Linked DNA regions of Elephas maximus indicus. The protein of the gene in region 1 purifies or fractionates together with the protein of each later gene. This does not show direct contact. Links are inferred from orthologs where the notes say so. Each region holds a gene or a part of one and is shown in the gene's direction. Other genes may lie near its edges.

Region 1 (7,823 bases):
ATACACAGATTATGTAGTATGTTAAACATTTGTTAAGTACCAAGGAGAAAAACAAATTAGGGATGAGGGATAGAGAGTATAGAGCAGGGGGTGATGCACTTTGAATAGTGTGATCAGGGAAGGCTTTACTAAGGTGACATTTGAGCTGAGACCTCAAGGAGGAGAGGGAGTGAGCCATGAGTATATCCAGAGGAAGAGCTTTACAGGCAGAAGAAACAGCCTGTGTAAAGGCTCAAAGGCAGGAGTGTGTCTGCACTTCAGTCACTTTCAACCTCTTTTCTCTCATCTATAGCATGGGAATAACAGTATTTCCTACCTCATAGGGTTGTTGTGAGATAATGATACAAAGTGCTCAAAACAGTGCCTGGGACATAATGACTCCAGAGCACACACTCTCTGTGCCATAATCAAGGATGCAGGGGATGATGCACTTAGCATGGTGCCAGGGACCCAGTGGGCATTCAACAGATCCCATGATTGCTATGCCAAGTATCAAGATGACTTTTTAAGAGCCTTCCCTCTTTCACACCCTTGTCCACAGCCGCTCGAGCCTCAATGCCAAGCCTTATGACGGCCTTGATCTGAACTGCGACAGCCAGGACTTCGTGGCCGCCATTATTAGTATCCCTACCCCTCCTGCCAACACCCCAGATGAGAGTCAACCTTCCTCCCCTGATGGCAGCAGCAGCAGGGCCAGCAACACCCTCAGGAACTCCAACATGGGTACCCCTTGCCTCCTCCCTGAGACTGTCAGGATCTCTTCCCTGTGAGGGGTGGGTCTACCCTTCCAGAGGGCCCTCTTAATTCTTGGGGACTCCTTTCCAAAGCCATATCTTAGGGAAGCAGAGAGGGGAAGGCCTGGGGACCCCTTCTGCCCCCTACCAAGAACTATGCAATGGAGTTTCAGGGAATAGCCCACTTGGTGGGGAAGTAGCCAGAGAGTGGGAAACTTCTCCCACCCCACATGATTTTCCTGGTGAGAGCTGAAGTGCTGGGCTTCCACAGACCCCCGACCTCCTTGGCCCCTCTCCCCTAGCTGGCCTCTTGCATGTTCCTTCTCTTGAGGCCTCAGAGGTAGGTAAAGCTCCCATCTGATTCTTGGGCTCTGGCCTGAGAAGTAAAGCTAAGATTTCTTCTCTCTGGCCGGGCTGTGGAGGTTTGGGACTTCAGAGAAAAGAACCCTCACCTCTGATCTCAGGTCCAACAACTCCAAGACTCCAAAGCTTAGAATGCAACAACCACAGGCTTCCATGGGCTGTGGCCTCAGCAGTGATCTGCCACTCCCAGGCCTTGGCTGAGGGGTCAAGCTGCCCCTCCCAACATAGACAAATAGCACAAACACACCAGCCCCTTCCCTAGCTACTGAAAATGGGTCCCCGCAACCCCATCCTCTGCCAGGCCTCCAGCAAATTCTAGCAATAGCAACTGCCGCCATGACATTATGCAAAGCCTCTGCTCAGTCTGCTGCAGTATCTACATCTACCCTAATCAGAGGGACCACCTCTAACCAATCATCCTTCACTCCTCTCCTCTGGTTTGCTTCCTTCCTGGGTTGGGCTGGAGTCTGGACTGGCTGAGATAAGAGCCTGGCAGCCAGCAAGAGCTGGGCTGTGCTTGGAAATCATGGGCTGATTCCATATTTTTGGGCAGGAGTCCAGAACCGTCAGGGGCTGAGGCCTGGGTTTTTCCTGAACTCTGGGAGTTGTAGGAGGCAGGAGGAACTTCTTGATCTCCTCTTCCTTCCCCACAACTCCTTTTTACATGTTCCTTTCTCTTGGGTCACCTTCTGGAACTGTGCCTGCTGTCAGGCTGAAATCTGGCATCATCTCAGGTTCCCTGTCCCCAGCACTGACCTCATGGAGCTGGCGGCTGACAAAGATGTAGTTTCCATCAGTCAATAAAACCTAAGAGGAGAGATGAGGATTAAGCACCTCCTGGCTCTGGGGGCTGGGGGTCAAAAACACTCTGATTTCAATTCCTTTCCACTAGTAGGAGGGCTGGTGTGAGTAAAGGTACAGGGGGGTGGATGGCTGGTTATGTGTTCTGGAAGATTGGGATCTAGGAGACATGAAAAAGGGTGGTTCCAAAATTGAAACTACAGACAGTGAGGCAGGCCAGGAGGTCTAGAGACATGCCTCTTTGGCCACCATCTGATCCAGTTCCCTCATTCACAGATGGGGAAACCGAGACCCAGAGCAGCACACAGTTGGTTAGAAGAGAATTAAACTCAGGTTTCCTGACAGCAAACACCTCTGAATTAACTCTCATGAAAAGCATCTCTCAGTTTGGAGAAATCCCCTTCCTTTGGAAGTCCCCTTCATTCTCTCTCCCGAGCTACTGGCTACACTAGGTTTGTGTGTGGCTGAACTCTATGGAGAAATAAGAAGACAGACTTTGGATTAGGTTGACCTGGGCTCCAATCCTTGTGTGAGAAAATCACTTACCTTCTCATGCCTCAGTTTGCTAATCTGTGAAATAATCATTCATTTACCAAATATTTAAGTATGTATCATGTACTAGTCCTAGAGATACAGAGTTCAGCATGGAAGGCAGACAATTAAGCAATTATAGTGTTGTAGAACTAAGATCAATGGATTGCAGAAGCATTTAGATAGCAAGAGAACCTAACCTGCCTGACACATAAAGAATGTATTGAAGTTAGCCAGACAAAAGACAAAGGGGTGAAAATGTTTTAGGCAGAGGGAACAGCATGTGCAATGATCTGGAGGTTAGAGAGCAAGCTGAAGGTGTCTGGGGGAACTGAAAATACTTCAGTGTGGCTGGGGAGGAGAGTGTGAGGCTGTGATGAGGACAAGGATATAGAGATAGGCTAGATCATGAAAGAGCTTTGAAACTATGATACGGATTTTGGATTTCATCCTAAGGATAACGGGGACCTCTGAAGGCTTATAAACAGGGAAGTGTCATGATGAGGTAGGTGTGTTTCAGAAGGATCATTCTGGCTGTGGTGAGTGGATTGTAGAGAAATAGTCCTGGAGGCAGGAAGAGCAGTGAGGAGGCTTTTTAGGTAGTCCAGTTGGTAGGTGATGGTGGCTTGGACCAGGGTAATGGCAGCAGAGTTGGAAAGTCAAGAGATTTGGGAGGTAGAATTGGCTGGACTTGGAACTGGTGGGCATGTGGGAGTTGAAGAAGAGGGAGTAATCAAGGTTTATTCCCAGGTTTCTGGTTCGGGCAATGGCTGGATGGGCCATTCGCTGTCAAAGGAAACATCAAAGCTGTTAGTGCACAGTGCCAGGCACGTAATAAGCTAGCCATGATCATTACCCTGAGTTCAGTTTTGGATGTGCAGTGCTGAACAAATATCTAGTAGGTACTGGGATATATGGATCTGGAGTGAGATGGTCCTGAGAAGATTCAATGTGATAATGGCCATAGGCACTTGGCACAGTTTCCTTAACACAACAGGCCCAATAAATGCGAATCCCCTCCTTCCATTAAGTCTCATGCACAGAAAACACTACGAAAGCCCATTTATTACTGATACTCTTCAGGGAAGAACTTAAGGTAGCCAGTTAGGTGGTAATCAGAGAGCTTTCTAATGGTCTCTCAGTCAGCCTGTTGTATGGCTTGGATCCTAAGACTGACAGCAAATGCTCACCTCTTATACCACCTTTTTGGTTCATGAGCTCATTCGAACCCCGTTAACTACTCTGTGAGGTAGTCTATACAACAGCAATGACAAAAAAACAAACTCATTGTGGTCAGGTCGATTCCGACTCATGGTGACTCTATAGGACAGAGTAGAACTGCCCCATAGGATTTCCAAGTAGCGACTGGTGCATCGGAACTGGGGACCTTTTGGTTAGCAGCCTAACGCTTAATCACTGCGCCGCCAGGGCCCCTGAAGTAACTAGGCAGGCATTACTATTCCCATTTTACAGATAGGTAAACAAGAGACAAAATGACTTGCTCAAGGTCACACGGCTAGTAATGGTCTGTCTGGTCCTGGAACGGAGGTCTTCCTGACTCTAAAGCCTAGAGGGTCCTTCCACTGTACCACCAGACTAACTTGATGAGCACTTACTGTGTGCCAGGGATGGCACCATATCCTTTACAAGCACGGACCTCTGATACTCATTTTGAAAAATTGGAATTATTGTTGCCATTTTACAGAGAAGTAAAAATTTAGAATGGGGGGATTGTTAAATGACTTGGAAAGGATCACTCAGAAGGAAGGGCAGAGATTGGATTAGCTCGCAGCTCTCCAATCACTCAGTAGCAGGGATTTTACCAACCCCATTGGGAGACCCTGGCTGGTAATAGAGCTGTTTGGTAAATACTCGCTTGTTGTACGCCATCGAGTTGATTCTGACTCACAGTGACCCTAGAGGACAAAGTAAAACTGCCCCATAGGGTTTCCAAGGCTGTAAATCTCTAGGGAAGCAGACTGCCACATCTTTCTCCCACAGAGCGGCTGGTGTGTTCCAACCGCTGACCTTTCCGTTAGCGCTAGACCCAGTAAAAACCACTTCAGAGAAAAAAAAAAAGGCTGTGCCTTGCCTGTGCACTAACCATTGGCGCATTGAGGTCAACGCTAGGGCGAAAGGGTGGTTGTGCCAAAGGGCGTGTTTGCTTCCCAAACTCCTAGTCCCCACGGTGCGTGTCTGTCCCACGATTGGCCCGTCCAACGTAAGTGAGGGTGTCTCTTCACCAATCAGCGCAGAAATCGACTTGTTGCCAGGGTGAAGCGGCGTCCGCCTCTTTGCTCCACGGGGATTTGCAGGTGGGTGGGACCGGAACTGACGCTACAAGGGAACGCTATGGCCTGGGAGTTTCAATATTTTTCAGTCAGTCCAGCTGAGTGCGGCCAAGTTGGAAGTTTGAAGGGGAGGGGCTTTCGTTATCGCGCATGGAGCAAACCTCGCAGTTCTTTCGCAGTACCCATGCCCGCGAGTCAGAGCCTCGGGGAAAGAAGTGAAGACCAGAACCGGCCAACAGAAAGGCAGGGAAGGAGAGTACCGACTTTAACTGAAGTCAAAGGCGGAGGACACAAGAGGGCGAACGCTCGCCCCTGATTGGTCCAAGGCCATCCTTGAGGCCCCACGCAGCTGCCTTGATTGGTTGGTGCTCTCAATTGTGGCGGCGGCGGTGATTTTGCCCACGTACTTCCCAAAGAGGGGCGGGTCTGTGCCCTGGAGTGCCTGCGCAGCGCCACCCGGGCCCCACCCGGTAGTTCAAGAACCTGGGAGGGGGCGGGGCGAAGAGGCACTTGTTTTGGTTCTGTTTCCTTTGAAGCAGAAGGCAGGAACGAGCATATCAAAAAACTTGCTGAACTTGGAGAGAACGCTGCGAGAAACTCGCAACAGTACCTCCACCTTGGACTTCATATCCGGGTTCTCCTCCCGGCGTAACCCGCGCACCCACCGAGGGTTCTCGAACCGGTGCTTTAATCCCTTTATCCGGATTCCGCCCTTCCCGACGTCCTTCGCGCACAACAGTAGCCCCCCCCCATCCGGGTTATCTCCCAGCGTGCCCCGCGCCGGGTTTGCTGGGGGGTACTCGGCGGTGCCGCCATGACTATTCTCCCCAAAAAGAAGCCCCCGCCTCCCGACGCCGACCCCGCAAACGAATCGCCGCCGCCCGGGCCCCTGCCCCCGGCGCCGCGCCGCGGCGGGGGTGTGGGCGTGGGCGGCGGCGGCACGGGCGTGGGCGGCGGCGACCGTGATCGTGACTCGGGCGTCGTGGGGGCTCGTCCCCGGGCCTCGCCACCGCCTCAGGGTCCGCTACCGGGGCCTCCAGGCGCGCTTCATCGTTGGGCGCTGGCCGTCCCGCCCGGCGCTGTGGCGGGTCCCCGGCCGCAACAGGCCTCTCCACCTCCGTGCGGAGGCCCAGGAGGTCCGGGCGGTGGTCCTGGCGACGCACTGGGACCGGCAGGGGCGGGCGTGGGTGGGGCGGGCGTGGTGGTGGGCGTGGGCGGTGCTGTGGGCGTGGGCGGTTGCTGCTCCGGGCCGGGGCACAGCAAGCGGCGGCGTCAAGCCCCTGGGGTTGGCGCGGTTGGCGGAGGTAGTCCTGAGCGTGAGGAGGTCGGCGCTGGCTACAACAGCGAGGATGAATATGAAGCGGCGGCAGCACGCATCGAGGCCATGGACCCTGCCACTGTTGAGCAGGTAAAGGTTGGGAGGCAAGAGGTGTATGGGATGGTGGATGGGATCCCTAGACTGGGTAGGGAACCCAGGAATGCTGGTTTGAGAAAATGCCGAGGGACTTAGGTCTTCTCTCGGGGCCTGACACTCCTTTCTTTGGTAGTAGGGACATGAGACACTCTTCCCGCTGGACTCAGAGGCCCCAGATAAGGTGTGAGACTTAAACATGGGCTCTGAGGTGTCTTACAGAGCCCATAGTAGTAATTATATTGTCAGGGATCTTATCATGTAGGGTCAGTAGGTAGGAATTCCTCCCCCCGCCCCGGAGAGACAGGTAGGATGAGTGCCTCCGGAGAGGGGAGTCTATGTTCAGGGGCTTGAGATCCCCTTTCTTCTCGGATAGGAGCTTGAAACTCCCTCTCCCAGCCCACTGTCACTGAGTAAATTCTGACTCATAGTGACCCTGCAGGGCAGAGTAGAACTGCTGCGCGTAGGGTTTCCAAGGCTGTAAATCCGCACAGGAGCAGCTTGCCACATCTTTTTTCCTTTGGACTGGCTGGTGGGTTTGAACCACTGACCTTTTGGTTAACAGCCGAGCGCTTAACTGCTGCACCACCACTGCTCCTACTCCCCTCTCCAGGGAACCCAAATAGGGCGGAGACCTCAGAGATAGCTCCCGAGTGTCTCCACGGGATCTATAATCTTTCAGGGACTTGAGAGACTGCATGGAACAAGCTCTCCTCTGCAGGGGAATGAGGCACAGGCTCTTTAAGCACTGGGGTTTGAGACTACTTCAAGGGTCCTAAGCCTGACTTTAGGGACCTGAGACTCCTAGAATCAAGGGTCTGACATGCACATGTACATATCCTTTAGAGATAGACGTCTGAGTTTTCCCTCAGGGAGATAAGATCCCTTTCCACTTGGGGACAAGGGCCAAAACCTATCCCCAGGGACCAGAAACTCTACTCAGGTTCATATGAATCATCTCTTCTCTGAGTGACAAGTCTATGGTTCCCTTCAGTGGCCTGACACCTCCCTCCTTGGGGACAAGAGTCTGAGCCTCTAGGAGCTTAAGCTTCTAAGGGTGGGCCTCCCTTCCCCTCTCCCCCAGCCTCCCACCAAGGGCCTGAGCTTTCTCTCAAGAAAATAAAGACTCACTGCTTTGGATACTGGGGCCTAAGACCTCCCTGCTTATGGACTGGTGTTTTCAAAGACTGAGCCTGAGGCGTCTTTGGGGGCCTCATATCCCCCAGCAGAGGTTTTCAGGGAACCTTTTGTGTCTACATGAGGTTATGAGACTTTTTTATCCCAATTGTAAGGGACTGACTGACAACGTAGTGATATAATCACTACCTCCCCTCTCTCTCCCCCATAACAGGGGTTTGAGGTCCCCTTCCCCAAGAGACTGAGCTAATTGTCAAAGACAGAGGACCCCTGCCTTGGAACCTCAAGCCTGAGGCCACTCCTCAGGGGACATGAGCAGCATGAGGTCCCAGGGATGGTGTCTGAGGCTTTCCCATGGATCTTCAAGGGCCTAGGTCCCCCTATTTTAGGGTGAAAGACCTGAGACCCACTCCACCGAGACTTGAACTTTCCCTCAGGAACAGGAGACTCATACCTACCCTAGTGATGGGTGTGTCTCTAGGGTTGAGGTCGGAGCTTCCCCCTCGGGGAACTTGAGGTACCCCTCAGGAACGGAGGACTTCCCCCGCCAGAACT
Region 2 (7,354 bases), about 40 Mb from region 1:
TGAAATATGGAAGGAAAGCCTTGTGTACCTGGCAGGTAATAAGTATTACTGTTGAGATCACCTATTTCACAAACATCCTTTCCACTGGGTGCTCTAGAAGGCTTGCTTCATTGATAAACCCATCTATCTGTATCTCCAGCCTTTTCACAAGGTGTTTCCTCCTTATTTCGGCCTTTACGGAGACCTGGGTCTCCACTGGAGCCCTGGTGGTGCAGTGGTTAAGCATTGGGCTGCTAACCAAAAGGTCGGCAGTTCAGATCCACCAGTCACTCCGTGGGGCCCCCCCATGGGACAGTTCTACTCTGTCTTATAGGGTTGCTATGAGTCAGAATGGACTCTACAGCAATGAGTTCTTTTTTTTGTAATGAGGATCCCTAAGGATGACCCCGAGTAAAGCCTGTGCTCATTTTCTCAGAAGCTGACATCAGTATCCCTAGCCCCTTACTGCCTCTTCCACAACACATCTCTTTCACCCTTCATAGGAGAAAGTCTCCCTTTTGTTTTGAAACAAATTTTGCTATACAACTCTTTAGGCAGCTGTGTGGGGCAAATGGTTAAGTACTTAACTACTAGCCAAAAGGTTGGCAGTTTGAACCCATCCAGAGGTGCCTAGGAAGACAGGCCTGGTGATCTGCTTCCGAAAGGTCACAGCCTTGAAAACCCTATAAAGCCCAGTTCTACTGTGCACACATGGGGTCGCCATGAGTTGGAATCGACTTGACAGCAACTAACAACAACATACAACTCTTTATCCTTCTCTGTTGTCTTCATCTGTTAGCTCCAGGGTTACTTCCTACATTCACTGAAGATTTGGGTCCTGGGCCTCAATTTACTCCTCAACTCCCACCTCCTTCATGCAGCCCTCAATGCCCAATACACTCGCCTTGTAAGTGCTAGATCCAATTCCAGTGATCGCCATCTCACTTTTTATTCCGTATGAGTGGTCATACCCTACATCTTATCATCTCCTCTAACTGCTTCCCCTTTGAAGTCTTTGACTCCCACATCACACTCTCTGGTGACAGCGTACCAGTTCTCCCATTCTCATAGGCCCTCTTTGAATTGAGCCTCCAGTCTTTTTTTTTTAATAATTTTTAATGTGCCTTAAGTGAAAGTTTACAAATCATGTCAGTTTCTCATACAAAAACTTATATACATCCTGATTTACACTCCTAATTGCTCTCCCCCCAATGAGACAGCACACTCCCTCCCTCCACTCTCTCTTCTCTTGTCCACTCGGCCAGCTTCTGGCCCCCTTTGCCCTCTCATCTCCCCTCCAGATAGGAGATGCCAACATAGTTTCATGTGTCTACTTGATCCAAGCAGCTCATTCTTCATCAGTATTATTTTCCATCCCATAGTCCAGTCCAATCCCAGTCTGAAGAGTTGGCTTTGGGAATGGTTCCTGTCTTGGGCTAACAGAAGGTCTGGGGACTATGACTTCTGGGGTCCTTCTAGTCCCAGTCTGACCATTAAGTCTGGTCTTTTTATGAGAATTTGGGGTCTGCATCCCACTGCTCTCCTGCTCCCTCAGAGGTTCTCTGTTGTGTTTCCTGTCAGGGCAGTCATCGGTTGTGGCCGGGCACCATCTAGTTCTTCTGGTCTCAGGCTAATGTAGTCTCTGGTTTATGTGGTCCTTTCTGTTTCTTGGGCTCATAATTACCTTGTGTCCTTGGTGTTCTTCATTCTTCCTTTGAGCCTCCAGTCTTTTGATCCTTCTCTTTTCTTTTTTCCCCATCTCTTAGCTCCCTGCTGGGTTCAGTTCCTTTCCTCTACACACTAGACCCCTATTCCATTACTACAATCTCACTCTTTTAGCACCCTCAACTCCCTCCCCGTCTTGTCCTTCTACTGTACCCAACCAGCAATCTCTGCTTTTATCATAAGTATCTATATTTTTTTATCTATGTTTATCTATATATATATTTGGAAACCCTGGTGGTGTAGTGGTTAAGTGCTACAGCTGCTAACCAAAAGATCAGTAGTTCAAATCTACCAGGCGCTCCTTGGAAACTCTATGTGGTAGTTCTACTCTGTCTTACAGGGTCCCTATGAGTTGGAATCAACTCAACGGCAATGGGTTTGGTTTTTTGGTTTTATTCTATATATCTTGCAAAATTATAGCTGAACATCACTACACAATTATGGTTCTTAAACTTCACTAGGTCTTCAGTGAAGTCCCTGAGTGGAACAAATGGTTAAGTGCTCAACTACTAATCAAAAGGTTGGTGACTGAAACCTACCCAGAGGTAGGTTCTCGTGATCTGCTTCTGAAAGGTCATAGCTTCTGAAAGGTCATAGCCTTGAAAACCCTATGGAGTGTAGTCCTACTCTGCAACACATGGGATCATCATGAGTCAGTCAGAATTGACTTGATGGCAACTGGTTTGAATTTTTTTTTTTTTAGTGACACTTGACTAACTTGTCCCTCTAGTGTCTCAGACTGGTTATTCAAAACTTTTACCACTTTCTTAAACCTTCCATTTCACTTCAAAACCTTCTATTTTCTGTAGATAGCCCTGGCTATACGATAGAGAAAACAGAAGTCCTCTTTCTGGGCCAAACTCTTTCAGCTTCCCATCCCTATACGCACACATTTTCTGTATTCTCACCTTTCCTTACCTCTTTCCCTCCAATCTCAAAGGAAGAGACATTTCTCCTCTGGCTGAAAGCTAATTCTATCCATCTGCACTCTATATCTCTTCCCTGGGACTCTAATCTTCTCTCCTGTATCTTTAACTTCTCCCTCCTTCCCTTCAACCCATAAACATACTTAAAATTTACTTACCTATCATTTTTCTGGAAACCCTGGTGGCGTAGTGGTTAAATGCAACAGCTGTTAACTGGAAGGCTGGCAGTTCGAATCCACCAGGCACTCTTTGGAAACCCCATGGGGCAGTTCTACTCTGTCCTATAGGGTCTCTGTGAGTCGGGTTTTTGGTTTTTATCATTTTTCCACTGCTTCTTTCCATTTCAGGCTTTGCAAAAGGCTGTCTTGACTTACCATCTCAATTTTCCTTACTCTTCGATCCATGAGCGATATGGTTTCCGACCCCACTGCACTGCTGAAAAAGAGTTCCCGTGAAGACGCTGGTTGCTCTCCCTAAATTGGAAGTGTACTTTTCAGTCTTTACTTCCCTGTGTTCTCTGAGGCACCTGGCAGACAGCTCAGGAGCACCTGGCTTTCTGAAAAAAAAAAAACGATCCTCTCCTGCTTCTTTCCCTTCTTGTTTGCAACCGCTTCTGCTCCTATTGCATTTGCTAGTTCTCCTTCTAGGTAGGGCTTAGCTCTGAGGAGAGAAGGGCAACACCTTTCTTTGAGATAGCTGGGAAGCAAGTACAGATAAAGAACAATTCAGATCAGTGGCCTTACTGGCAGACAATTTTTAAACAAATTCCCTTTTTACATATCATTGGTGATTTCCAGTCCTCTTTTTCTTTCTCTACACTGTTTCCTTACATAAGTTCAACACTGGTGGCTTTCACTACCTATATCTCTAGGTCCTTTTCCTGATCCCTAAACCCATACGCCCAGAAGTCTAGGAAGACCTCTTACCCTGCTGGCTCCTAGATCCCTTAGTTAGGCCCATAGCTGAAGGAGTTCTCCTCCTTGGTTCAATCTGATTTGTTCCTCTGGTACTCCCTGATTTGGTAAAGATAGCACTGTGCATCTGTGCCTCCTCCTCATCTTCTACTTGGACCACTCCAAAGAAAACCAGACCCTTAAAAAAAAGACCCTTAGGCCCCTGAATATAGTTCCTAGAATATGCACTTTGTTTTCCTAAGGTAGGAGGGGGTTAGCACTAACAGCAAGACTTTGCAAGGAGAGACCCCTTTTAAAGGCAGTAACTTAGGGTCTTTGAAACCAAATGCCCTTATTTGTAAGCCGCTGGGTGGCATAAGGGTTCAAGTCCACCCAGACACCTCCGAAGAAAGGCCTGGCGGTCTACTTCTGAAAAGTCACAGCCATTGAAAACTCTGTGGAGCACAGTTCTACTCTGACACGCATGGGGTCACTCTGTGATTGCAACGGTTTCTGTTTTTGGTCCCTACTTGTAAAAGGAGGTAACAATGCAAATGAGAAAGCCTGTTTAAGGGAGCTGTTACCTAGCAAATGCTCAGACACCGTTAGAGTCTTTCTCCTGGTGCTTTGTAAGCTCTTCCCTTCTCCTTAATAACCTCTGGTGTCCTTTCTCAACACCAGCCAACCACCAAATCCTCTTAAGTTACTCTGAAGCTCTGATTGTTCTCTGACTTCTCCCCCCGCCCTCCAGCAACTTCTCCTTCTATGAAACTTCACTGATTCCAGTCCTTTTGTAGCTCTCCCGCCAGACGGCGAGCCCCTCAAACGCAGAATTCCGTTTTCTTTCGCCCTCTCCTGAGCGCTCCTGCAGTTTCTGGCGCATAGTCAGGGATCAGCAAACGTTTGTGACAGAGCGCAGCTCTTCACAATAGTGAGAGCTGGACGGGAGGACCCAGGCTGGGGGCTTGGCCGCAGAAGGGGCCGGGGCTCGCCGGGGACCGTGAAGTTAACCGCGCGTCGGGAGTGCCAGTGCCAAGTGAGCTGCGGCTGGGGGAGCGGGTTGGGAAGAGCGAGGCCTGGGGCCGCGGGCGCCCCGGGCGGTGGGCGGGGGCTGGCGGTGCCAGAGGAGGCACTTTTAGCGCTTGGTGTTGGCCGTTGCCCAGACTCGGGTGTCAGCCCCAGGCTCCCCGGCCAGAATCAGCCGGGCGGGCTGCAGGGCACAAGGGGAGAGGCCCGCGTGGGCGGCGGGAGGACCGGTGGGGACTCCGGACACCCCTAGCGGCGGCCGCCTTCATCGCCCGGTCCCACAGGTGAGTGCCAGGCAGGCCGCGGGGCGGAGCCTGCCGTCGCCACCGGCCACCCAGCCCGGCGCCGCCACCACCGCGCAGGTAACTTCCCGCCCGGGTCTCCCCCGCGCCTCCGGGACCCCCAGAGCCTCCGCGCCCGTGCCCCTCGGCCGGCCCTGTGCCCCCAGCCCCGGCGCGCCGTGGCGCCTTTGTCCCCCGCCCCGATGGCGGCGGCGCTTGCCCCTGCGCAGAGTCCGCGCTCGGCCCAGAGCCGGCGTGTCCCGGGAGTGGGCCGGCGCAGGGAGCCGGGGCACCGCCCTGCCCGCGCCCGTCGGAGCCCGCCCGTGGGCGTCCGGCGCCGGGCGTTGCCCAACTCCCTCTCCGCGCCGCGGCGCCCCGATCCCTCCCTTCCTCCCCGCACTCGGGGCCTGAGCGCCCCGGGACCACGCTCGCGGAAGTGGGGCCCCGCGCCGAGGGCCATCCCCTTCCCCCAGCCGGGCGCACTTGCAGCAACAACCCTGGCTTTCCCCCTTAATAGCTGGCTGTGGAGCACGGCGCTGAACTGCGCTAGTGCCACCAAATAGCTTTTTTTGGCATCTTTTTTTTTTAAACCGATGTTTAATTTATATACAGTAAAATGCACCAGTTTTAAGTGTGCAGATCAGTGAGACTTGACAAATTATACAGCCGTTACAATCACTCCCCCAAAGGAGACATAGAATGTTTCCATCACCCACTTTCCTTCGCGCTCCTTTCCAGTCAATCCCCGCCCACAGTTCTGATTTCTGTCATAGCTTACTTAGTTTTGCCTGTTCTAGAACTTAATAAAAATGGGATCATTCAGTGGATACTCTTTTCTGTTTGACTAAAAGTAATTTTTAAGTGGCCATCACTGAGAAGGGGTCTTCTGGTGTTTGGTGTGTGCTCTGGGTCTGCGAAGCCCAATATGGTAGCACCGCCACGTGCGGCCACTGAGCGCTGGAAACGTGGCTTGTCTGCGCTGAGATGTGCTATGAGCATACGCAGCTAATTTCGGAAGACTTAGTACAGAAAAAGAATGTTAAATATCTCATAAATGAAATTTTATGTTGAATACTCGTTAAAATGATAATATTTGGAATGTATTGGGTTAAGTAATAACATTAAAATTCACTTCAGCTGTTTTCAATTTTTCATGTGGCTACTAGAAGATTTAAAATGAGACACGTGGCTCACATATTTTTGTTGGACAGCGCAGCTCTACGCTCCTATTTTAGAAACATTTGGCTCTGCTTCCTGTTATTACAGTAAATGAAAAAGTTGAATCTTCACAAGGGAAGCTATTCCCATCGCAAGGAAGTGATCTAAAACAGAGCCTGACTTCTGCAGGTTTTAAACTTTGTTTCACTTACTTGTTTGCTTAAAAGAGGTAGAAAGGACTAGCTATAGCTGGGCGATAAGTTACATTTTCAAGGACTTTCTAAAATATCGCAAGTGCTTAAAAAGGCACCCTGTGTGTGTGAAAAACAGAAAACTAGTAATTGCCTACAACCCAAATGCCTAAATATATTAAAAATGAACATTTTGGTGTACTTTTGACCAGTCATAATTAAACTTAGTTGAGATAATATTGTGTTCAATTTTATATCATGCTTTTTTCACGTAGCATAGGTTTTAGAATATGGTAAAATTAGAGAAACAGTTATTTTCCCTTTAATCCCGTGGGAAATGTGAAATCTGAGAAGACAGAGATGTTGTCTTTTTTGTTTACTCCTATAGCCCCAGGAACTGGGAACAAGTCAAGCACTAATAAAATAAAAAAAACAAACCCATTGCCATCCAATTGATTTTGACTCGTGGTGACCCCATTTGTTATAGAGTAAAACTGCTCCACAGGGGTTTCTTGGTTGTAATCTTTATGGAGGAAACCCTGGTGGTGCAGTGGTTAAGTTCTACAGCTGCTAACCAATAAAGGTCAGCAGTTCGAATCCACCAGGTGCTCCCTGGAAACTCTATAGGGCAGTTCTACTCTGTTCTATAGAGTCTCTGTGAGTCGGAATCGACTCGACGGCAACATGGCTTTTTTTGCGTGTATTTTAATCTTTATGGAAACAAATTTACAGGCCTTTCTTCCATGGTTCCACTGAGTGGGTTCGAACCACCAACCTTTTGGTTAGTAGCTGAGAGCAAACCGTTTGCACGACCTAGGGACCTTCAAGCACTAAAAAAAAAAAAAGCACTAATAAAAAAAAACCCGTTGCCGTCGAGTCAATTCTGATTCATAGCAGCCCTGTAGGACAGGGTAGAACTGCCCTGTAGAGTTTCCGAGGAGTGCCTGGTGGATTCGAACTGCTGACCTTTTGGTTAGCAGCCGTAGCACTTAACCACTACACCACCAGGGTTTCCTCAAGCACTAAGAGATGTTCGATAAACACTTGAGAGCTGATCAAATAAGTGAGTAGGTGGCGCTGAGAAATGGTAACAGCTACCTTTATTTATCCCTTATGCATGCTTTGTAAATCCCCAAATAAGTCTCTGAGGTAAGTACTATTATTACCACTATGTC
Region 3 (6,927 bases), on another chromosome or scaffold:
GCCTTATGGCGCTCTTTCTCACAGGCCTCCAGGGAGTGAACAGGCCAGCAGACCCCATATTGAGTGAGCTGTCAAGGTGCGCTGGCATCTCCCAGCCCACTCTGTGGAAAGGGTGAGGGAAGGGGAGGCAGGTGGTTGAGAACCCAGCCCGACCTGAATCAGCAGAGAAGGACCCCAGAGACCCCAGAGGGGCATAATCGCTGCTCTACTCAGAGCTTCCTGCGTGCCAAACACTCTCTTAGGGCTTTATGCACATGAGCTCATTGGATGCCCCCAGAAACACTGTGAATAAGTAGTGGTTTGATTTCACGCAGAGGACAAAGATGTAGAGAGAGGTTAAAGGTCCCGCAGTGGTTTTTAGTCTCAGGCAGTCAGACTCAAGAACTAGAGCTTGTATGTGGTTCTGTACCACTCTGGCTGTCCCCTGTGCTGCCCTCCTGCCAGCCAGACTGCAGAAAAGGGGAGCCGGAGTGGTGGGGTGGGGCCTTTGTGCACCCAGATGGGACAGAGCCCAGCCCTGGGGACCTCTTCTTCCCATAGAGCAGATTTGTAGCTACAGCCCTCCAGGCTCTGAGGCTGAAATCCTCTCTGATCCAGGCAAGGCACCAGGAACCTGGGGGTGGGTTCTGGGCAGCTGAGCAGCCAGATGACAGCCATTTATTACAGGGGAGTGCCTGTCGTATGGTGGGTGGGTCCCATCAGGGAGGGACTCTGTCTCTGGCTCCACGTACCCTTGGAGCTTCTCTAAGAAGGCACAGGAGCACTAGATATGAAGAGTCAGCAGGGAAACAGCAGATGCTTCAAGCAGCCTCTCCTCCCTTCATCTCTCCCCTCTCCTGGGACAGGCCTCATATCCTCCCAAAAACTCCTCAGAAGGCCCTGCGGCCAGGGGCGGCTGCTGGGCACTTCCCTCTCAGGACAGCAGGTGGCAGCATGGCCCATGTTTTCATGCGCAGTGGCGGCCTTCTCCTGCCCGTGAGGCCTCTAAGAGGCACTGCAGGCTTCTTAGGGACCAGGGACTTCCAGGAAGAGAGTGTACTCAGGAGGGGACTGCTGATTCTTCTCAATGCGAAAAGCATGGAGCAAGGATCCCTTTGGTTGTAAATAGCTCTCTAGCTGCTAGCAGCCTACTCAGATGTTCACAGGAGACCACCCAGCAAAGAAGGAATGTGCTCCCCAGGAACAAAGAAATCTTAGAGGAAAAAGAGAACCGTGCTCTAGAGTTAGACTGTCCTGGGTTCAAATTCTGACTCTGCTGTTTATTTACTTGCATGGTGACTGTTGCATGTGATTTCTCTTCAGTCAACCTCATGTCCCTTGACCGTAAAATCTGATCAAGGGCAGTGTGCAGCATTGTGACGATTAAATGGTGTGACCTGCATGGCACCTCACATGATGCCTGGAACAGGGTTCTTGCTCAGTAAACGGTGGTTCCCTTTCTCTTCTTTGTGGAAGGTGTGCTATCAACCACCGATTTACAGAGCCTGCGAACATGGGCATTCTCAGGGCCTTTTTCTTGGCTGTCTCTCAGATGCACAGGCCTCCATAGCAGGGGGCTCACCTAGGCCCAAAGATGAACAAACTTTCATCTTCCCTTCTTTCTCACGTTCTTCCAGAAGAGACCATGGCATTGGATGATGCCACAATGATGGCAAAGAGACTTAATGAAGAGAAGAAAATGAAACGAGCGAAAGAGGAACCTGAGAAGGTGATGAAGCAGTGGGAGAGAGAACATATAGAGCCAGATGACGAGCTGTTCGAGGCAGACCTGAAGAGCTCAGCACTTGAGCTGGAAGGGAGCAGGCAGAGACTGGAAACAGAAAACACCAGCTCCTCAGGAAGAACAGAACTGGGGCCAATGGAAAGAAGAGATTCAGGAGAAGTCGGCAAAAGACTGCCTGGAGAATTAGGCAGAAGAGAGTCGGGAGAAACAGGCAGGAAGCTATCAGAAGTGGGCAGAAGACAAGCAACGGAAATCTACAGGAGGCCCTCAGGAGAAATAGGCCACAGGCTCTCAGAAGGGTTAAGTGGAAGTGAATCGGAAGGAAGCAAACGGGCAGAAGCAGACAGAAGAGAGTCAGAAGACCTGCCAGTGCCAGGAGAGATGGGCAACACAGAAAATCCTGAAGAGATGAAAAAAGATGTAAAGAAAGATGAATAAAGCCTTGTTAACAGGCATTAGGATCAGGAGGCTGGAGTTCACAGCGATGATGGGAATCTTATTAAACTGGATTTTCAAGCTGAGATTTGTCTTTAATAGGAAAAAAATGGGGGACTGGGCCCTACTGGTCACCTCTGCTTCTTTCTGTCACCATTTTCCCTTTAAATATATATATTTTCACTCTTACAAGCCCTGAGTTTATTTTTTTGCCCCCTCACTCCCACCCAGTCTCAGAAGAGCCTGAGAGAATGAATCAGTGATGCTGGTGTGGGTACCACTTCCCAAGCTGAACTCTTGTCCCAGAACCCTGAACAACGCCTGACCAAGAGTGTGACCAAGGTGTGCAACATAGCCCTCTCCCCCCAGGCCCTGTACTAGGACCTCATGGAAGAGAAAGGTGCTAAGAAATGTTTCCAGGAGGGTGAAGAAACAGGTGAGCTCCAAAGAACCCAGGAAGCTTAACAGGAGGAGAAAGAGAAAGGCTTGGGAATGGCCACGGGTTTGCCAACCACTGGCCATTGGTTTATTTTTCAGAGCCCCTGCTGTGTGCAGGACACTGTAGGAGGCTTTATGGAGAAGTGATAACAGGACAGGCTCAGCTATCATGCCATGGAGGAGGCCGACTTGTAAAGCCTTCAAAGCAGAGTGAAATGAATGCTGGGACTGATAAGGGGCCATTTTGCCCCAGGAGCCCAGAGGAAGAAAGATGGCTCCTTTGAAAGAAAGAAACGGGGCTGGCCCTGGGAGCTGGGACAGTAGCTGGACTTCACGGGTATGACTCCTGGTGGCATGACCAAGTAAATCGAGCTCTCCAAGCTTGTTTCCACCTCTGTAAAATGGGATACCTGCCTCAGGGGTTGGCACGAGGGTTAAATAAGAACTTAGCATGGCACATGGCACACAGCAAAGGCTAGAAAATCAAACGGAGTGTTGAGTGGGTCACAGAGGAGGTGGCAACTGAGCAGCTGACCTTAGAGAACGAGTCAGGATTCCACCATGCTCTGTCCTTTTCGTTCCGTCTCCACACCCACTCGAAAGCGTGGAGTTGCAGCTGACTTTAGGCTGGGGTAGAGGAGGGGACTGGAGTGAGATGAGTAAGGTACTGCTTTGGGCCAAAAGTAAACACAAAACACCAAACCGTTGCTGTGGAGTGATTCTGACTTATGGTGACCTCACGTGTCTCAGAGTAGAACTGTGCTCCACAGGGTTTTCAATGACTAGATCTCAGAAGTTGATCCCAGGCCTTTCTTCCAAGTTGCCTCTGGGTGGACTGAACCATCAACCCTTAGGTTAGGAGCCAAGCACTTAAGGGACTCAAGGTGGCGCCAAAACACTCAGTAATCGAGACAGGTAATATTTCAATGCAAAATTGGAAAAAAAATTACAATTAATGCAAAACTCCATGCTGAATAAAATGCCAACGTTTTACAGACAGGTTCTGACCCTGCCCTTGCACGACCCTGCCTCACTCGTCCCATCCTAGGCCTAGCCTTGGTCTGGCGGTGGGGCTGGTTGCTTCCCTAAATAGAGTTAAGCATTAACAAGCGCAAGAACAGAGGCCGAACAAGCCCCCGGGCCGCCGCAGGTCTCGGAGAGCACAGGTGCACACCCGCCGGCGGCCAGGCACGCGGGGGCCCCCAGCGCCCGGCCGCTGTGAGTTTCGATTCCGCGCGCCTGCGCGCAGAGTGCCGCTCGCCCCGTCCCGCCCCTCCCCTCCCCGCCCCGTCCCAGCCCTCGGCACCGCCCGCCCGTCCGCGTCGCCCCGCCCCCGGGGTATGTAAAGCGGCCCGGCTGGCGTCGTGTGGCCGCTGAACTCCCGTGTCCCTCCGCGCAGGCGGGCGGTCCCGGAGAGCGAGTGCCTGCAAAGGCGGCGACGGCGGCCCCTCTTCCTCATCATGGTGAGCAGAAGGGTGAAGGCCGAGCGGGGAGGGAGAGGACTGGGCCGGGCAGAGGGGTAGCGTCGGAACGGAAAACCAGAGTATTTTCGGGTTCTCGGGAGGAAGTGGCATGCAAATGAGGATCGAGGTTCCGGAGTTGAGCTCAAGCTTTTTTGGGAACCGGATGCAGTCCTAAGGTAGGGAAGAAATGGGGAGGTTTGGGAGGAGTGGTGGCTGGAGGAGGAAACGAGGGGGAGACCTAGGTGGCGTGGGTGCGACCTGGGGTCTACAGCGACGGGGCCCCCGGCCTGGTTCCGACCCCTGCGCTGGCCCACGCTCCGGCAGCCATTCGTCGCCTTCCCGCGCCCAAGGGCCTGTCTCCCAAAACAGCATGCCAGCAGAGAGCCGCTCAGGGAGGCGGAGCCCTTTGGAAGAGAGGACGGTTTATAGTTTTCGGTTGTCACTTGTGGCTTTTAAGGATCCCTGATGGCGCAGTTGTTAAGAGCTGGGCTGCTAACCAGAGGGCGGTTCAAACCCACCAGCGGCTCTGGGGAAGAAGGTTGTGGCAGCCTCTTTCAGTAAAGACTTACAGCCTTGGAAACCCTGTGGGGTAGTTCTGCTCTGCCCTACAGGGTCACTGTGAGTCGTAATGGACTTCACCGCAACGGGTTTTGGGGTTGTAGCTTTTAGCAGATAGGAAAACAAGTGGCTTGGAGATGTGCTGGGGACACATAGCAAAGCAGTGGGCAGAGCTAGCCCCTGAACCCAGGTGCCTGTGCCGCCCAATTCTACGACAGGCACAAAGGCCATGACTTTGTGGGGCCAGAGAGAGGGCAGGAAGAGGTGGCAGGCATGGTGAATGAGGCTCTTTGTCCAGCGTTCTACTGCCCTGCCCCCTACCAGCCCGTCTGTGGGGCCATTGTCCCCCCATCCCAGACAAGAGAGTATTATCCGTTGCTGCAATTGTTGGGGGCAGGGAGGCAGTATTTTGGTAACCCTCCTCCCTGCTCCCCAGTACACACTCTGAGCCAGGACAGCTGTGTCTGCCCAGATAGAGAAACCCCACTCTCGAAGAGGACATCCTTAATAGTTGCCAAGAATATAAAAATTGGGGCCAGGCCCTAGAACCACAGGCTTTAGGCCCTCCCCCGCATGCATGTCAACACGGCTTCCTTTTGGAGGTGGAAGGAGTGGGTAATCCTTGGGGTACTGCTCTAGCTGGAGGGAAGCGAGAGTATAGGCAGGCTGGGTGCAGCTTCCCTCTCCATCCTCTGCCCCCAGTAGACAGGTACTCAAGGGGACTAAAAGGAGGGGCATTTTTTTTTTTTCCAGTTGCCACCCAATCTCCTCTGACTTATTGTGACCTCTTGTATCTCAGAGTAGAACTGTGGACTGTAGGGTTTACAATAGCTGATTTTGGGGGGAGGGGATAGATTGCCAGGCCTTTCTTCCAAGGCACCTTTGGGTGGATTTGAACTTCCAACTTTTTGTCTGTAGCTGGGTGCATTAACCGTACCACCCAGGGACTCCAAGGGGCATGGTAGGCCCTAGAAAAGTTCACTACTTCACCACTCGGGAAGGTGCTTTCAACCCTAGGGATGCTTATAAACCAGGGCAGGGGAGCCAGGTTAGACAAGGGGCAGGGCTGGTGGGGTGGCTGCTGGTGACCTGGGCTGACATCTGTTCTTCTCTTCCTCACACAGAACAGAGGTTTCTCCCGAAAGAGCCACACATTCCTGCCTAAGATCTTCCGCAAAATGTCATCCTCAGGGGCCAAGGACAAGCCTGAGCTGCAGTTTCCTTTTCTAACGGATGAGGAGACGGTGGCCACGCTGCAAGAATGCAAGACGCTCTTCATCTTGCGTGGCCTGCCAGGGAGCGGCAAGTCCACGCTGGCACGTGTCATCAGGGACAAGTACCGTGATGGCACCAAGGTGCTGTCTGCCGATGCCTACAAGATTACCCCTGGTAGTCGAGGAGCCTTCTCTGAGGAGTACAAGCAGCTGGATGAGGACCTGGCTGCCTACTGCCGCCGGGACATCAGAGTGCTTGTGCTGGATGACACCCACCATGAGCGGGAGCGGCTGGAGCAGCTCTTTGAAGTGGCTGACCAGTACCAGTACCAGGTGGTGTTGGTGGAGCCCAAGACAGCGTGGCGGCTGGACTGTGCCCAGCTCAAGGAGAAGAACCAGTGGCACCTGTCAGCTGATGACCTGAAGAAGCTGAAGCCTGGGCTGGAGAAGGACTTCCTGCCACTCTACTTTGGCTGGTTCCTGTCCAAGAAGAGTTCAGAGAGCCTCCACAAGGCTGGCCAGACCTTCCTGGAGGAGCTGGGGAACCACAAGGCTTTCAAGAAGGAGCTTCGACACTGTAGGTGGCAGGGCTGGGGGTGACAGGGAAGCTGGGCCCCTGAGCCTCATTCTCTCGCCCAGCAAACACTGGACACCAGGTGCTGCATGGACAGTACCATTGTTCTTAAAGGATTGGGAGCCAAGCGGAAAAGGCAGTTGGGGCCTCAGCTGGTACGAGGCAGAAGCAAATCGGTGCTTCATAGAGGTGGCCTTGGGTAGTGGCAGTACAGTGGGAATGTGGGGGCAGGTGCTTCCCGGAGCACTTGCCCTCCTCTTTTCCTTCTCCCAGTCTGGATCTGGGCCACTGTCCCTGCCTCAGAGGTGGGAAAAACAAATGACTGTCACAAGAGGAAATAACGTCACCATATGATATAACCTTGGAGAATCTGGTCCAATGTTTTCAAAATCATTTTGAGCAGCAGAACCATTTTTTAAAACAAAATAGTACATGGAAGCCTAAGGTGTAAAAAAAATTAATAGGACTGTTCTGACTTTCCTGGGGATGATTCCCAGATCTTGGGCTGCCCACCCTCCTCTT
Region 4 (6,841 bases), on another chromosome or scaffold:
CAGGTCTTTCTCCCACAGGGCAGCTGGCTGGGCTCAAATCGCGGACCTCTCCTTTAGCAGCCCAGAGCTTAACTTTGTTCCACCGGGGCTCCTTCTAGAGGTTTCAGGGGCAGCTTAAAACAAAGAAATGCAAAACAGCCTGCTAAGATCTCTAATCCAGGTCCCTAAGGGCAAGCTGGAGCACCCCAGTGGCTTAAATGATTAAGCTACCAGCCACAGCTTTGAAAACTTTATGGAGGAGCTATACTCTGCGCAATGGGGTCGCCATGAGTTGGAAACAACAACAAGGACAGAGTATAAAGCTCCCTCTGAGACTCAGTTTATGCCCCTGTAACTGTTACCTGGAGCTCTGGTAGAGGAGGGGTTAAGCGCTAGTTGGTTCAAATCCACCAGCTGGGAATCACTGGCCGACAGTGGGTAACTGTTAGCTATTGTTGAGGTAAACTCCCTGGGTGGTGCAGTTAGCTTACTGAAACTTTGGTCTCTTGTTCTTCATGTTTTTTTTTTTTTTTGCATTCATTTTTACTTAAAAAGTATGAAAACACTACTATCTTGATTCATGAGTTTTTTGGAGCCCCCTTAAATTTTGTGCCTGAGGTCGGTGTCTGGCTCTCCTCACCCTAGTCCCAGTCCTCCTCAGCACGTAAAACAAAACAAAAACACCAAACCAGTCGTTGTGGAGTCGGCCCTGACTCATGGCGACCCCGTGTGTTTCAGAGTAGAACTGTGCCCCACTGGGCTTTCAATGGCTGATTTTTTTGGAAGTAGTTTTTTTTTAGATCACCAGGCTTTTCTTCTGACACACTTCTGGGCAGACTCAAACCATCAACCTAGCATGCAGTAGATGCCTAATAAATGCGTGTAGACGGAATGATCACAGTACCTAAAACATAGCATTTCTATCACGTAACGGGAGCAAACACTTAGTGATTTCTGCATACCAGGCACTGTGCTCGGTGCTTTACTTGTATTAATGTCTTTAAGCCGCAGAAGAGCCCCGTAAAAGAAGTTCTGTTGTTAGTCCATAACTTACATGCAAAACCTGAGGTTCAGAGAGGTTACGTAACTCGTGCAAAGTCACACAGCTAGGGAAGGGGCAGAATCAGCCTGTAAACTCAGGATGTCTGGTCTCGGTTAACCAAAGCTGAAGCACATCTAGCTAACAGAATTTTGTAGAATTGCTTCCCGACCGAAGCATGCTTTTTTGAGTCATATTCGTCCGTGCTTTTCCTAGCTGTGTAATCTTGGGATAATTAACTTTTTTGAGCACTAGTAGCCTCATTAGTACAGGAGGCCACCCAAAGCTCAGGGTGTGGGAAGAACTAAATGAATTACTTGATTTAAAGGGCATACAGCCTTGGAAACCCTATAGAGCAGTTCTAGTTGTCCTATAGGGTCGCTGAGTCGAAATCGACTCGACAGCAATGCATTTTTTTTTTTTTTTGGCTTGAGGCCAGCCCTTATTATGCGCTGATTCTCTGTAACTCCGAATCGACTCAACCGCAACGGGTTAATATCAAAGGCAGAACGGAGCGGTTTGCAGTGGCGGCCGCTGGTCAGCAGGGGTCGCTACCGTCGTCTCCGCGTCCTTCCGGACGCCGCAGCGGGCGCATGCGCAGCTGAGCCTCCCTGCAGAGGGGGCTTTTTTTTTTAATTTCTGTTCCCCGCCCTTAACCCCAGCGGGTATTTATGACTGCAGACCGTGAACCTGGCTGTGGTTGCTTTGGCTCACAGTCGAAGCTCCCACCCTCCTCCCCTAGGCTTCTGCTAAAGTCAGGAATGGGACTGGAGTTGGAGAGAGGTCCCCCCAGCTCTGGCCAACATCTGGCAGCCGGGGGTGGGGTGCCGAAGCCCTTTCCGTGGAGGCACAACAGCGGGGGCGGGAGGGACTTCAATCTTCCCTTTCCCCTTGAACTCTCCAGCCCCGCCCCCCTTGAATATACCTTACAATCAATTTTCTCAATGAGCTATGTATTCATTTGAGGGCAAATTAAACTCGCTTTTCTAAGGAAAACCTTTGCATGCCATTTGTTAAGTGCCCCCGGTTTGCAAGGAAGAAAGGACAAACGGCTGTGCAGTGCGTAATACGGGACCCAGCACACAGTAGGTGCTTAAAAACTTTAAAAAATTAATTTGTGAAAAAGGGAAAGCGGATACCCATCTGCTGAATACGCGTCCCCCCAATGGCGCATGCAATTGACTTGTAAAATTAACATAAAACGTGTGTAGAACACAGGCGTTGATGTTTAAAAACCCAGGCTGAGTTGTGTGTGTGGGGGGGTGGTGAGCCTGGATCTTTGAGTAGATATTTATGGAGCGGCGCCTTCCTGCCTCAGTTTCCTCCTGGGTTAAACGCGGGACGGTGATAGCAAGAGCAGTCGTGGGTTGAATGAAATCAGGGCTGCGACAGCTCAAAGCTAAATGTGCACTGCATTTGCCGGGGCGGAAGGGGTGTACAGGTTTATTTTAGCGTCCTTTCGAGAATTTGCAAGGCTTTTGCGGACCTCCCCCCTCTCCCAGCCCGGGAGAAGCACTGCAGTGCTTTGCTTTTTACTGAGTGAGTTTGGGGGAAGGTGTACTGCAGCGAGTTCATCTGAGCTGGTGAGAGCATCTTTCATTGATGCGTTCATTACTTGGTGATAGCCGACTACTTGCCAGGCATTGAGCTGGACTCAAAGCGTAAAGAGACGGAATTGAATAGCCAATTCGTCTCCACCAGCGAAAGTTCCGAAATACAACTATTTCTTAGGGTCAGATTAGGACACAAATGCTAAATAGCCTTCCTTGCGCCTGCCCCTGGAGAGGAACCGAGACAGTGAGATTGCACATGGAAAGCGCTTAGCCCGTGACTAAGACACGCAGCAACCCCTGAAATAAATAGTTGTTTTATTAATATCAATGGAAGTTAATTAAAATGGCTCAAGAAGAGTTCCTGTGTGTCAGCATGGTGCTAATCTCTTCACGTGTATTTAACTCGTTTTGCTATCTCAACAGTGACGTAGTACTGAGCACTCCCATTTCACAGATGGGGCAACTGAGGCACAGAAATTAAAGTAACTGTGGTGGAGCGATTTAGGTATTTTGTTTGTTCATTGCTATATCCACAGCACCTATGACTGCCTGGCACATACCCATTGCCGATTGGATTTAGACTCATAGCGACCCTACAGGACGGAGTAGAACTGTCCCATAGAGTTTCCAAGGCTGTAAATCTTTACGCAATCAGACTGCCACATCTTTCTCCAGCTGAGCGGCTCAGCGGCTGGTGGCTTCTAACTCCCGACCTTTCGATTAGCAGTGAGCGCTTCACCACTGTACAACCGCTTCTCTTTCTATCTAGGACGCAGCATACACTCGCATTTGTTGAAGAAATGAGTGATCAGTACCTGTTTTTTAAAAGTTTTTATTTTGAAATAATTATAGACTCACAAATAGTTGCAAAAATGGTACAGAGAAGGACCGACTACCCTTCACCCAGTGGTATCATTTTACAGGACAATGTAAAAACCAGGAAATTGACATTGCTCCAACCCGCAGCCCGTACTCAGACTGTAACGTGCTTTCAATAATAGTGGTTGGCAAGCTACTGTAGTTGCTATTATTATTATTCTCAGCGAAAGCGGCGCACTTAGCTTTGTGAACCTGAATATTGCATCCCGGAGGCGTGCACCAAGCTGGCAGCTGACTACCGCCCCTCGGAAATCCAGGCTCGGGACGGCGACTGAAGGGTTAACCGGGGAAAGCGTCAGTGCGCCTGCGCAAGGTGGCGCCTCGCCCTGCCCCCGCAGCGCGGTCAGATGACCCGCCCAACCGGCGTCGGCCTATAAAAGGCCGAGTGTTGACGTCAGCGTTCTCTTCCGCCGTCGTCGCCGCCATCCTTGGCGCGACTCGCCTCGCTCGTATCTGCCTGGGAGAATCCACCGCCATCCGCCACCATGGTGAGTCACGCCGTCTCTCGGGCGGCCCGGGCCTGCGGTGGGGCCTCCGAGGAGTCGGCGCTTCAGAGTCTGGTGCGCCGAGGCCGCCGAGAACGGGGAGAGACATGGCGGCGGCGGGCTCGGGGCTGGGGAAGCGGCCGCCGCCATGTCTGCGTGCCGCGCTGTCGGCGCAGCCCGTTCTCTGCTTCCGGGGGCGCCGCTGCCTCGCGGGAGCCCGGGCCCGGCGGGAGCCGGGGTGAAGGCGGGGTGGGGGCATGGTGATGTGGCAGGCGCTGTAATGGCGGGCGCCGCGGCCGGCGAGGGAGGCGCCTTATGTAACCCGCGGGTCGCGAGTTGGAGCTCGGGGTTCTGTCCGGGGGCCGTGGGCGGCGGGGAGCCAGCGAAAGGAGGCAACGGAGTCCTTAAGCCCCCCGCCCCGGTCTCCTTCGCATCCTGGGTAATCTTGGTCCTTGTCGTTTCTGTGTTTGTCAGCTACAGAAATGATTGGTTTGCTGCTAGGTGAGGACTGGCTCTTGTTGGGGGTGCGAAAGGTGCCTGGGTGCCCGAGGAGAGAGCTTATGTAGGGATCTGAGGGGTGGGACGGATCTCCGTGACGACCCCCACAGCAGAGAGGTGACCTTGGATATCAAAGGCTTTTGGGGGGAGGAGAGCGGGGTAGCTCCGTGGCTTTTCTTTAGGAGTTTTGGGGGAGGCATTGTTAACTGACATCATCATTTTTGCACCTGGCCTGAAGGGAGTCGTGTCACCCTCGGTGACTCACTGTATAGCCTACTTTGTGGGCTGTCACCAGCAAATGGCAACTGAAATCAGAGCTGCTATGGAGATTTGGGAGAGAGGTTTTTATGGAGATTTGGGAGAGAGGTTTTTCAGAGCACCCTGGTCATCAGTTGGGGGTGCCAGCTTGCTCTTGGCCGTGGGCCTGGCTGTTGTATCGACCGGATTCTGAGTGCCAAGTTGGTTCCTGGAATCCTGTTCTCCCCCTCCCCCAGGTGAACTTCACGGTAGATCAGATCCGGGCCATCATGGACAAGAAGGCCAACATCCGAAACATGTCAGTCATTGCCCACGTGGACCACGGCAAGTCCACGCTGACAGACTCCCTGGTTTGCAAGGCCGGCATCATTGCCTCCGCCCGGGCTGGGGAGACCCGCTTCACTGACACCCGGAAGGACGAGCAGGAGCGCTGCATCACTATCAAGTCCACGTGAGTCCCTGGTGCTTTCTGGGCCCTGGCAGGGAGTGGCTGATCAGCTGGCTGTTGGGGGGTGGAGGCTGGTGACAGCACGTACCATCATTTTCGGGGGGGGGGTGACAGCACGTATCATCTTTCTGGGGCTGGGGCTGGTCTGCCCAACCATAGGAAAATATGGTTCAATTTAACGAGGTGCCGCTGGGTCGAGATTGGGGGCCTTGGGGAGAGGAGAAGGTTTGACCCAGTGGTCTCCTCCTGGGGAGTGACTTGGCCACTCCTCCAGGGACACTTGGTACGGTTGTCAAAGCTGGGAGGGATGCTACAAATTTCTAAGGTTGTTACTGAACACGTTGTGATGCGCAGGACAACCTGCCCACCAGCACAGAGAACTGTGTCCGTGCAAGTCCGTAGTATCCAGATTGAGGTTGATTCAAGGCCGAGTTGTCTTTAGTTGGTAATTTAGAGGATCTTTTTGGTCTTTTATAGTTAGACTTATTGCAGTTGGGCCAGGAGAGGGACAAGTAGGTCTTGGGGTTCTTAAGTCCTGGTTGGTTATAGAATTAGGTGTGATGTGGCCCTGGAGCAAGGGGCTGGGGGCCCCCAGGAAGGGGAGGATCCCTGGTCAAGGGTGCCATGGGTGGGTTTTGTGTGTAAAGTCCATTTTGAGGGATGACTGATACTGTGGGGGCACAGGTTAGCATGTTGCTCTGAGGGGTCTGTATCTGGGTGTTTAGTGGCATCCCTGTCTTACCTGGGAATTGGGGGCCAGACATCCTGACCCACTGGGGCAGGGATCTGAGGCTGGTGCAACCTGGGTCCGTGTCCATCCATCCGTAAGATTTGTCTGTCTGTTCTTAGCGCCATATCCCTCTTCTATGAGCTCTCAGAGAACGACCTGAACTTCATCAAGCAGAGTAAGGACGGTTCTGGCTTCCTCATCAACCTCATTGACTCACCTGGCCACGTTGACTTCTCCTCAGAGGTGACAGCTGCTCTCCGTGTCACTGACGGCGCCTTGGTGGTGGTGGACTGTGTGTCCGGTAAGCAGCGGGTCCCTCTGGTTGGGGGGGGGACTCGGGCCGTCTCCGCTTGGGTCATCCTCTGGGTGACTGACCGTTCCGTCCCCAGGTGTGTGCGTGCAGACGGAGACGGTGCTGCGCCAGGCCATCGCCGAGCGCATCAAGCCTGTGCTGATGATGAACAAGATGGACCGGGCCCTGCTGGAGCTGCAGCTGGAGCCCGAGGAGCTTTACCAGACCTTCCAGCGCATCGTGGAGAACGTCAACGTCATTATCTCCACCTACGGCGAGGGCGAGAGTGGCCCCATGGGCAACATCATGGTGCGGGGCCTGGTGCTTGGTGGGAGGCCGTTCTCTGTGGCAGGGACTAGGGAGACTCGGCTTTTCTTGTCTAGTGGGTGCTGTCATTGGGGAATGGTAGTTTTGAGGAGCTTGAAGAGGTTGATTTCAGCCACTGGTATCTGGGAGAGGGAGGCTGGGCTGGGCACGCCAGCATGTGATGACTGACATTTCTTCACTTTGACCTGATGTGTCTTGAAGAAACCCAGTGTCTGAGGCCCACGGTACCTGGGGAGCCTGAGGCTGTGATTTTTACCCCAGTGCCCCCGCCGCCCCAGCTCTATGGTTCCCTCTTCTCCTCAGATTGACCCTGTCCTTGGCACCGTTGGCTTTGGTTCTGGCCTCCATGGCTG

The links.
Region 2: the proteins of OTUD5 (region 1) and CTPS2 purify together in Homo sapiens (affinity purification with mass spectrometry; 3 studies listed by BioGRID and IntAct, with this or other methods). This does not show direct contact. The link is inferred for Elephas maximus indicus from reciprocal best matches to the Homo sapiens genes OTUD5 and CTPS2.
Region 3: the proteins of OTUD5 (region 1) and CNP purify together in Homo sapiens (affinity purification with mass spectrometry; 3 studies listed by BioGRID, with this or other methods). This does not show direct contact. The link is inferred for Elephas maximus indicus from reciprocal best matches to the Homo sapiens genes OTUD5 and CNP.
Region 4: the proteins of OTUD5 (region 1) and EEF2 purify together in Homo sapiens (affinity purification with mass spectrometry, with the first as the bait; 3 studies listed by BioGRID). This does not show direct contact. The link is inferred for Elephas maximus indicus from reciprocal best matches to the Homo sapiens genes OTUD5 and EEF2.

The regions. Positions count from the first base shown.
Region 1 is NC_064846.1:122,667,261-122,675,083, forward strand, and holds the start of OTUD5 (OTU domain-containing protein 5), read left to right. Parts: upstream 1-4,811; 5' UTR 4,812-5,534; coding exon 5,535-6,128; intron 6,129-7,823. Other genes in the region: KCND1 (potassium voltage-gated channel subfamily D member 1), read left to right, coding at 542-770. UniProt on the Homo sapiens protein: Deubiquitinating enzyme that functions as a negative regulator of the innate immune system. Has peptidase activity towards 'Lys-48'- and 'Lys-63'-linked polyubiquitin chains. Can also cleave 'Lys-11'-linked ubiquitin chains (in vitro).
Region 2 is NC_064846.1:162,888,821-162,896,174, forward strand, and holds the start of CTPS2 (CTP synthase 2), read left to right. Parts: upstream 1-4,348; 5' UTR 4,349-4,559; intron 4,560-4,634; exon of another isoform or gene 4,635-4,911; intron 4,912-7,354. UniProt on the Homo sapiens protein: Catalyzes the ATP-dependent amination of UTP to CTP with either L-glutamine or ammonia as the source of nitrogen. Constitutes the rate-limiting enzyme in the synthesis of cytosine nucleotides.
Region 3 is NC_064837.1:48,958,904-48,965,830, forward strand, and holds the start of CNP (2',3'-cyclic-nucleotide 3'-phosphodiesterase), read left to right. Parts: upstream 1-3,927; 5' UTR 3,928-4,056; coding exon 4,057-4,059; intron 4,060-4,097; exon of another isoform or gene 4,098-4,235; intron 4,236-5,741; coding exon 5,742-6,408; intron 6,409-6,927. Other genes in the region: ODAD4 (outer dynein arm-docking complex subunit 4), read left to right, coding at 1,617-2,161. UniProt on the Homo sapiens protein: Catalyzes the formation of 2'-nucleotide products from 2',3'-cyclic substrates. May participate in RNA metabolism in the myelinating cell, CNP is the third most abundant protein in central nervous system myelin.
Region 4 is NC_064821.1:7,039,418-7,046,258, reverse strand, and holds the start of EEF2 (elongation factor 2), read left to right. Parts: upstream 1-3,837; 5' UTR 3,838-3,935; coding exon 3,936-3,938; intron 3,939-4,927; coding exon 4,928-5,142; intron 5,143-5,988; coding exon 5,989-6,170; intron 6,171-6,258; coding exon 6,259-6,470; intron 6,471-6,641; exon of another isoform or gene 6,642-6,706; intron 6,707-6,791; coding exon 6,792-6,841. UniProt on the Homo sapiens protein: Catalyzes the GTP-dependent ribosomal translocation step during translation elongation.